Mus musculus: one gene and its partner. The protein of the gene in region 1 interacts with the protein of each later gene in a biochemical or structural test. Links are inferred from orthologs where the notes say so. Each region holds a gene or a part of one and is shown on either strand. Other genes may lie near its edges.

Evidence for each region.
Region 2: the proteins of Plxnd1 (region 1) and Sema4a form a complex in vitro, tested with the Homo sapiens proteins (2 studies listed by IntAct, with this or other methods). The link is inferred for Mus musculus from reciprocal best matches to the Homo sapiens genes PLXND1 and SEMA4A.

The regions. Positions count from the first base shown.
Region 1 is NC_000072.6:115,992,053-115,996,461, reverse strand, and holds the start of Plxnd1 (plexin-D1 precursor), read left to right. Parts: upstream 1-1,456; 5' UTR 1,457-1,656; coding exon 1,657-2,973; intron 2,974-4,409. UniProt on the Homo sapiens protein: Cell surface receptor for SEMA4A and for class 3 semaphorins, such as SEMA3A, SEMA3C and SEMA3E. Plays an important role in cell-cell signaling, and in regulating the migration of a wide spectrum of cell types.
Region 2 is NC_000069.6:88,452,738-88,457,280, forward strand, and holds the start of Sema4a (semaphorin-4A precursor), read right to left. Parts: upstream 3,025-4,543; 5' UTR 2,811-3,024; intron 2,764-2,810; exon of another isoform or gene 2,521-2,763; intron 2,492-2,520; exon of another isoform or gene 2,386-2,491; coding exon of another isoform or gene 2,343-2,385; intron 2,110-2,342; coding exon of another isoform or gene 2,081-2,109; coding exon 1,942-2,080; intron 395-1,941; coding exon 234-394; intron 1-233. UniProt on the Homo sapiens protein: Cell surface receptor for PLXNB1, PLXNB2, PLXNB3 and PLXND1 that plays an important role in cell-cell signaling. Regulates glutamatergic and GABAergic synapse development.

The DNA of each region.
Region 1 (4,409 bases):
TCCCCTGGGTGCTCAGTTGGGGGTGGAGGCAGGACATAAGTCTCCAATTTCCTGCCAAGGAACACTCCTGACCATCAAAGCCAAGGCCATGAATGGGCTGGAACATGGCAGGCAAGCCGGCAGGCAGGCACAGGGACAGGAAGGTTGGGGTGGGGGCCAGGGAAATGGGGATGGCTGGGCTCTGAGCCCTTGCTGCTGACCCTTCAGGCACAGGGAAAGCCCCTCCCCATCCTTCCTTCCTATCTGGTGGGAGCAAGGTCACCCTCTGAGAGAGGGCCACTAGGCCTCAAGTGACAGCTGCAAGCTGCTAGGAGACCCTGACTGAGAACTTGTAGCTGGAACTGTGGCTTCAAACAATGGGTCTGTGTCCCACCTTCCCCCTTAGCGGTGTATTTTGGGCTTTACTTCTGGGGCCTCAGTTTCCATGCACGGAAAGTGGGTTGAGTCTTTGTAAGGAGGTTAGCATTTGGTGTGGTCCTATGTGGGCACTCCCATGCTATGGAGAGGATCACCTGGGTTTCTATGACCTTAGGAAAATGACTCCTTGCCTTTATCCCAGGGCCTACCTGTTCCTTTGAAGGTCAAAGGAGTCCGGTGCCCAGTGCCAGCTCATATGTGGAATGACTTTAGGTTTCTCAGAACCTTGGCCTAAGGGCAAGGTCCTGGGGGTCTGCGGGGTTTGGCTCTATCCAGAAAGTAAGGCCCTGTGTCTGGTGTTCTGCTCAGCCCAGCCTGCCCTTGCAAGAGGAATGAACTTCCTCTCAACACAGTTTCCTACTTTTGCTGTGGGATTGTCAAGTTTGTCCCCGGAGCCTGCTGCTTGCAAACTCCTTTTACAGAGCAGTTCGGGGAACAGACCATAGGTTAGCCAGGGGCCTGATGTCCCTGGTCTGGCTGGTCTTTAGAGTGAGGCTTGGAGAACATAGGGGGTGTGAGCGGGGGGGGGGGGGGGCGGGGGGGGCGGGGAGGGGGACTGTGGCCAGAAGGGGCAGGCGGTTGAGGGGAAATGGAGGGCTTTAGGGGCAAGGAGAGGAAAAGAGTAGAGAGGGAGAGCAGCGGGAACAGAAAGAAAAAAAAAAAAAAGGAAACGCAGATGAGGGAGAGGGAGTGACGCGGGAGAGACACGGGGCGGAGTTGACAGGATCGGAGTAGGGGAGTCCGAGAGATTGAAAGAGCGAAACTCTGAGAGGCGGTGGAAGGCAAACGGGAGCCCAGAAACAGAACAGAGAAGGTACTAGAGCGAGGAGAAAGAGAGGAAGGATAACAAACAAGCGAGAGGAAGACATTCCAGGAGCTGGCCAGGAACCAGGAAAGAGGCAGGCAACTTGCGACTGCCCGGGTATCGGCCACCAGTGACCTCGGACCGCGGGGCGTGGCCCAGAGGCGTGGCCGGGGGCGTGGCCCGGGGCGAAAGGGCGTGGGCCAAGCTGCTGGGGCGGGGAGATGGGCTGTGGGCGTGGTCTCCACGGAGCCGCCCCCGGGCTGAGCGCCTCGCCAGAGTCGGGCCGGGGCGCCGGGGCCGGGGGCGGCAGGCGCGGGCAGGAAGCGCCTCGCGGCCCGGGCCCCCCCCCCGCCTCTCGCCGCCTCCGAGCTCCCGGCTCCCGGCCGCGCCGCGCCCCATGCACTCGCCGCGCCGCGCAGCCCGCGCTCGCCTGGATGGCTCGTCGCGCCGCGGGCGGCGCACCCCCTAGCGCCCGGGCCGCCGCGGCCGTCCCCTTGCGTCCGCGCCCTCACTCGCGGGGCCCTGGTCTGCTGCCGCTGCCTCTGCTGCTGCTGCTCGGGGCGGCACGGGCCGGCGCCCTAGAGATCCAGCGCCGTTTCCCCTCGCCCACGCCCACCAACAACTTCGCCCTGGACGGCACGGCGGGCACCGTGTACTTGGCGGCAGTGAACCGCCTGTACCAACTGTCGAGTGCCAACTTGAGCCTGGAAGCCGAGGCGACCGTGGGTCCCGTGCCGGACAGCCCGCTGTGTCACGCCCCGCAGCTCCCGCAGGCCTCGTGCGAGCACCCGCGGCGCCTCACGGACAACTACAACAAAATCCTGCAGTTGGACCCGGGCCAGGGTCTGGTGGTCGCGTGCGGCTCCATCTACCAGGGTCTGTGCCAGCTGAGGCGCCGGGGCAACATCTCAGCCCTGGCCGTGAGCTTTCCGCCTGCCGCGCCGACCGCAGAACCGGTCACCGTGTTCCCCAGCATGCTCAACGTGGCCGCCAACCACCCCAACGCGTCCACTGTGGGACTGGTGCTGCCGCCTACCTCGGGCACCGGGGGCAGCCGTCTGCTCGTGGGCGCCACGTACACCGGCTTCGGCAGCGCTTTCTTCCCGCGCAACCGTAGCCTAGAAGACCACCGCTTCGAGAACACGCCCGAGATCGCTATCCGCTCCCTGGACGCGCGTGGAGACTTGGCCAAGCTCTTCACCTTCGACCTTAACCCGTCGGACGATAACATCCTGAAGATCAAGCAGGGCGCCAAGGAGCAGCACAAGCTGGGCTTCGTGCGTGCCTTCTTGCACCCGGCGGTGCCACCGCACAGCGCGCAGCCCTACGCGTACCTGGCGCTCAACAGCGAGGCGCGTGCGGGCGACAAGGACAGCCAGGCGCGCAGCCTGCTGGCGCGCATCTGCCTGCCCCGCGGCGCGGGTGGCGACGCCAAGAAGCTCACCGAGTCCTACATCCAACTGGGCTTGCAGTGCGCGGGCGGCGCGGGCCGCGGCGACCTCTACAGCCGCCTCGTGTCGGTTTTCCCCGCGCGCGAGCAGTTCTTCGCTGTCTTCGAGAGGCCCCAGGGCGCCCCAGGTGCCCGCAACGCCCCGGCCGCGCTTTGCGCCTTCCGCTTCGACGACGTGCAGGCTGCCATTCGTGCAGCGCGCACCGCCTGCTTCGTGGAGCCGGCGCCCGACGTGGTGGCGGTGTTGGACAGTGTGGTGCAGGGCACCGGGCCGGCCTGCGAGAGCAAGCGCAACATACAGGTAAGCCATAGACCTGAGGGGCGTGTGCGGGGATACAGTATGCACGCAGATATCCCAGAGGATTGGTTACTGCCAGCGGTGCTGGCCCGGGAGCGTACTGGGTCACAGGTGCGCACACCTAAGTGGGGAGGTCTAGGTTGTCAAGGTACCCAGGTGTTCCCCGAAGACAGCGCACCTACAAATCAGCTCTGCAGGTGGGGGCCACAGGTGTGTGCTGAACTGAGAGAGGGGAGTGACACCAGGAGAGTGTTTAGGGAGAGTGCAGGTGCCCTTAGGACATACCTCTGCACCCTGGCAGATGTGTGATGGGTGTGGCACCTGGCACTGAAGATAAAGGGCATGTGGGTCGGAAGGGCTGAGTATGTGACAGGGACACCCATCGGAGATCCCAAGAGTGTAGACCTGCAGGGATGTAAACTCCCAGTGGGAGCCCGTGCCAGGGGACACTGTTATTTGGGAAGTGATTGGTTCCCTAGTGAGGCCACCTGGTTGGCAAACAGGTGTGTGCTCAAGGCCACCTCAACAAATAGCAAATGAGCAGCTAGCAGGTGGTGTGGCAGACCTGTGATCACAAATGCTGTGGGTTTTTAACTTAAGCCAGCCATTCTCAACATGTGGGTTGTGTGTGACCCCTTTGGAGCCAGACAACCCTCTCACAGGGGCTGCATTATCCTGCATATCAGATATTTACTTTGTGATTCATAATGGTAGCAAAATTACAATTATGAAGTAGTAACAATGAATTCATTTTATGGTTGGGGGGTGGTGGTCTTACCCAGCCTTAGAAAGGTTGAGAACCACAGACCTAGTGTGTGGTGTGTCAAATGTCTTCAGCAAGTGTGTTCTCATCCCTTTGTACATACAGATGAAGAAATGGGTGTAAGTTTTAAGGGATGCACAAACAGCTGAAAAGGAGCAGAGGTGGGGCTTGCTTGAACACAAGTTGTTTGGCCCCCTCATGTGTTCATGGTGCTGGGGCTTTGCGGCCTTACAGATGTGGAATGGGGGCATCCAGGCAGTCTGGCCGGACAAATGGAAGATGGAAAAGGAGTGAATCTTTGGTGGAGAACTATAGGGCTGAGGGTGAGGCGGGGCCTCAGGGTGGGCAGTAGCAAGAGAGCCAGGCTAGGGGATCCCCAAGTGAATTGGCCTTGGGTACAGCCAGTCCCCTCTAAGAATTTCACAACAGAACTCATTTTCTTTCAACCCCAAAATGACACTGAGTTTACAAAGGGCTAAGCCCAGCCTTCTGGGCTCACTGAGGCTCCCTGCCTTGTCCCTCTCTCTCTGTGGTCCTCAGGGGTAGCAAGACTATACCGTGGGCGTGCCCAACACTGGGGCTTTGAGCAAGCACAGATTCCTTCTCTTGGCAAAGACTCCCTCAGCCGCCTACCACCCTGCCGACTGACCCCTCACAAGAAAGGTCATAGCGGGTG
Region 2 (4,543 bases), on another chromosome or scaffold:
TCTCTCTCATAGGTGCACATCAAACTATTTGAGTCACTGATTTGAGTCAATGTTTTAAATCTCCTATGCCAGTGATTTCCATATCAGCCATTTGAGTGGCTGGGGTTACTGTAAGACCACAGCAGTCCCTGCTGTCACTGCTGACTCAGAGTGGCAGGTGGCGGCTGTTCATATGGAAGCAGAACTGGTCCAGGGAAGCTGCTGTCTTGGACTCTGGCCCCTGGCCTCCTCACCATGTTCTTTAGCCTTGGGATTCCTGGGTTCTGGATATTCAAGGCCAGGACGGCCTCTCGAGCCCCCACATAGAGAGTGTTGCCATCGTCACTCAGGAGCAGCGTGTCAAAGTCTCGGAGGCCTTTTTGTTGGAAGAAGCTGAGGGCCCTGTGCCCGTCTCCTGTTGGGAGGCAATGACAAGGAGAGGATGAGAAGGAGCTGACCACTGAGGCAAAGGTGGGGGAGGGGTGGCAGGCCTCAGCAGCTGCCCCCCTTCACTGGCGGCACCCCCCTCCATTTCCTTCATCCTTCAACAGCAGGGCATCGGAACTTTGTGGATTGAGTCCCCAGAAGTGAAAAGTTCCAAAGACAGGGTAATGGTAGCTTGGGTACTGTTGGTGGTGTTGGGGGGAGAGCCTGCTCAAGACACAGACAGAAAATGAAGTGAGGCTAGAAGATGCAGTCTCAGGCCTGGGGGGATGCAGTGAAGCAGGATGGGAGGGGGAGAGCTGACAGGTAGACACAGGAAGGGGTTCTCAGCCACAGGCAACGGAGATAGCTGTCGTCCGCCTCAAGATTTGTCGTAGTTACAGATCCCTGCCACCCCCGTTTCCTCTGTCTCCTCCCCTCACTCTGCGATAGCAATTGCCCACCACCAGCAATGCCCACTGCAGCAGAAAAGGCTGCTTCCTCTCGGTTTCTGAGCCCCATCAGTGTGGGCATTCCTGGGAGCCACCTGGACAGTCTGAATATGTTGGTTAGTAGTGCATGTTCACTACATATCTTGGTGGTGGCATGTGTGCACATACACACACGTGAATGTGTGGGTTCCTGACACACTGGCACATCAGCAAGGAGGAAAGAGCACCTCAGATAAGTCTCTAGTGAGCACATGTGGACTTTTGCTTTAGTCAGAGGACAATCTGGCTGTTACTCTTTTGGCCTCAGGAAGCCTGGAAACCAAGAGGAATCCAAAGACAAAATGGAAACAATACTGCCTAGATTGGCTTCTCCTGAACTCTGAAGAGAGCTCATTGTACTTCCCCTTGAAACGCAGGCTTGTTTGTGCCTGCACTCCCATCCCACCCAGAGATGCCGCTCTATCCACCGACTGCTACATCTCCTTTACCATTTTGCCTCAGAAGGATGCTAAACTACATCCGTGAACAGAAGTAACTTACTTCTGTGTGTGTGTGTGTGTGTGTGTGTGTGTGTGGGTGGGTGGGTGTGTGGTATATGTGGCACTTCCCCTGGGGCATTTCCTGGAACTAAAGGTGTCAGTAACCGAACAGCCTCCTCAAGAAACCACCGAGGCTGGGTGAGCTGCTAGGATCCCTTCTGATGCCCAGTCTCCTGGACAGGATCTGGCCCGGTGTGACCTCTGCAGTTGGCTTGGGCCCTCCAGCTCCTCAGACAATCTAGAGCGAGCTTTAGCTTTCCAGCTCCTGGTACTGAAAAAGCAGTCAGGAGTTTAAGGCTCCTTGCTTAGTGACTGACATTTGAGGGAAAGAAAAACCACTGAGTTGGCAGAAAAGGGTCACAGTGACCCTTCCTTCCCTTACAGATCAACTTGTGCCTCAGGTGGCCTCTTCTTCTCCCAGCCCCTCCCAGGCTCCCTGGCATCTCTGTTTCTTCGTGCCATTTCGTCCCCTCTGGCACACCCTTCTCCTTCCTCAGCCCCTTCATCTCTATGGTGCCATCCATACCTCCCAGGTACTAGACACTTACCAGCATGGTATTTGACTCTGGGCATGGGCCCCTGACCACCAGTCCCAGAAGCAGGTGGCAGTGATGGCAGCAGGAAGAGTTGGAAGAAAAAAACACGCAGGAGACTCCATGAGTCCTGGCCCAGGGATGGTAGGGCCATGGTCAGCCTGAGATGGTCACCAGATGGTTCTGAGGAAACAGGCACTTTCTGGGTTAGCCATGCTTACCACACCCTTCCTGAGGGCCAATAGGAGAGCCCCAGGGGGCAGAAGTTCCTCTCTGGAAGGGCCCTCAGAGTCTCACTTCCATCCATCCCCAGCCTTGAAGGTGCCTCCTGCTGCCCTCTGCATAGGGTGCTGCTGTGGCCCACGCTGTGCCTCTGGTCACCTAACCATTAAAAAAACTACCTTGCCATTTCTCACCTGACTCACAGAAAAATTCCTTTCCACTTTGCCCCCTCAGCATCTCCTGGCCCCGTGCTCCAGAGCTCTGATCATCTCTGGCCCTGGGCAAAGGTCTTCTAGGGAACTAGTTCCTGTATGCAAAAGGTAGATTTCCCCAGGCTGGCCTGTGCTGTGACACCTTATGCCCGCTACTCACCCCAACCCAGGCAGACAGCCTACCCTCTCCTCAGCCCCCAGGGGCTCTGACTCTTGCTTAATCGGGCCCATCTAGCCTTCTTCTTAGGGATAGGGGCGTGCCAGTTTATCTACCACTGTGGTGGGGCTGCCCTCTGTATTTCCTGGGAGTGGCCTGGGCAGGAGTCCTTGGCAGACTCTCAACTTCTCCAGCCCCCCTGTCTGCCTCCCCAGAGCTCCGCAATCAGCCTCCCCCATGGCCACTGAATGCAGGTTCACACCCCTCCCCCGCCCCCGCCTCATCTCACATACCCTTGAGCCAGCCACACTGAGAAGTCCTGTGTTCAAACCCTGAATCAGGGTGCCATCCGAGGCAAAGAAGGGGGTCCAGGCAAGGCAAGCAGGCTCAGCCTGGCTGGAACGGGCGCGCGGCCCTCCAGGCACCCATCCTGCCAGAGCCAGTGTGGGTTTCAGGCCAGGGAAACCAGAATTTCTACCTCGAGTTGTGACAGATCCTGGCTGGCTTGGGCGGAAGTTGGTGGATCAGGGCGGGGAGACTGGTGGAGTGTGGGAGTGGGGGTGAGGCTTGAAGGCCTTGCAGGAGACACACCTCCCTCCCTCCTTAGTCTATCCAGAAATTAAGAGTTCCTTCCCGGCCAGTTCAGTGATGCCCTTGTTTCTCCCGCACACCACTTCCAGTCTAACCAGCCCAAGCTGCAGACTCCTCTTGCTCAAGAGAGCTCGGTATGACACCGTCTCTCTCCTATTCCTTCTCTCTCTGACCCCATTGTGGGGTTCCCCCACTGCCACATACTGAGACCTCCCGACCTCCCACACCCAGTAGGACCACATTCTTGAAAGATAACACGTTTAAAGCTGGCATGGTGGCGAGGCATACCTTTAATCCCAGTACTCGGGAGGCAGAGGCAGGCAGATCTCTGAGTTCGAGGCCAGCCTGATCTACAGAGTGTGCTCCAGGTCATCCAGGGCTATACAGAGAAACCCCGTATCAAAAAAATAAAAAATAAATAAAAATCCTACATTTGTATTAGTTTTTTGGTTTTTCCCTATGACTTTGCTGAGGAAGCCCTAGTAATTTGACGTCTCAGTGGGAAATTGGAGAAATTCCCCATTTGAACGCGTGCTTCTTGGGATACGCTTTGGAGCTGAAGCACCCAGCTGGCATGGTGGCTGGTTCCTCCTCCCCAAAGGTTCCAGGAAGACCTCATAACGCAGGGTTAATGAGTAACCAAGGGCTCCTAGGCCAATAAAGAGTGGTTGGGCTGCTGCCCACTCTCCCGGGTCAGCTGACTTCAGGTTAAAGAGCACAGTGACCCAAGCTGGTCTACCTCCAGGACATACCCTATCTTCACTGTAAACACCATCCTCACTGCCAGGATGGTCCCCACTGTAGGCTGTCCTCCACCCTTCCAGTTACAGCTCCTAGACGGAAAGCATTCCTCGGTAGAGCCTGCTTGGCCTTCCCTTCATGCTTTCCCCTCTGCTTCCGTTCTCCAGTGTGGCCCAGGAGCTGGGCTCACACAGACCCTCCTGATGGCTTCATCTGTCAAAGCTTGCTAAGACCCGCCCCCCCCCAAGCTCTCCGTTCACTGTGAGGACTTTGCCAATCTCCCTGTGCTGACACAAACTTCTGAGTCTCCTTGACCTCTAGATCAGGCTTGGGAAGCCACCACCTCAGGGCCTCTCTTTGGAGACAGATTGGCCTATCTGGGTCACAGGGAGGAGCTGTGACCAGAGGAGCAGCTCCAATGCCATCCTTCTTTACTCTCTTCCTGTCCCTGGGCGTCCTCAGGAGACCAAGTGCTCTCCCAGGCCCTCGGACAATGTGAGAAGCTCACACTTGGGGCTTCAGGCTTCCCAACTTCAGCAGGCAGGCTCCACTACAGTCTTGCTGCACAGAGAACAGAAGTGCAGCAGGGGTGACTGGACAGCCTGACGTCCATCCATCTACCTCAGACCTGTCTAATTCGGAAGCTCTCCCTACATGGCTGGCTCCTTCAGTCCCATCTCCTGCCCTAGTGCAT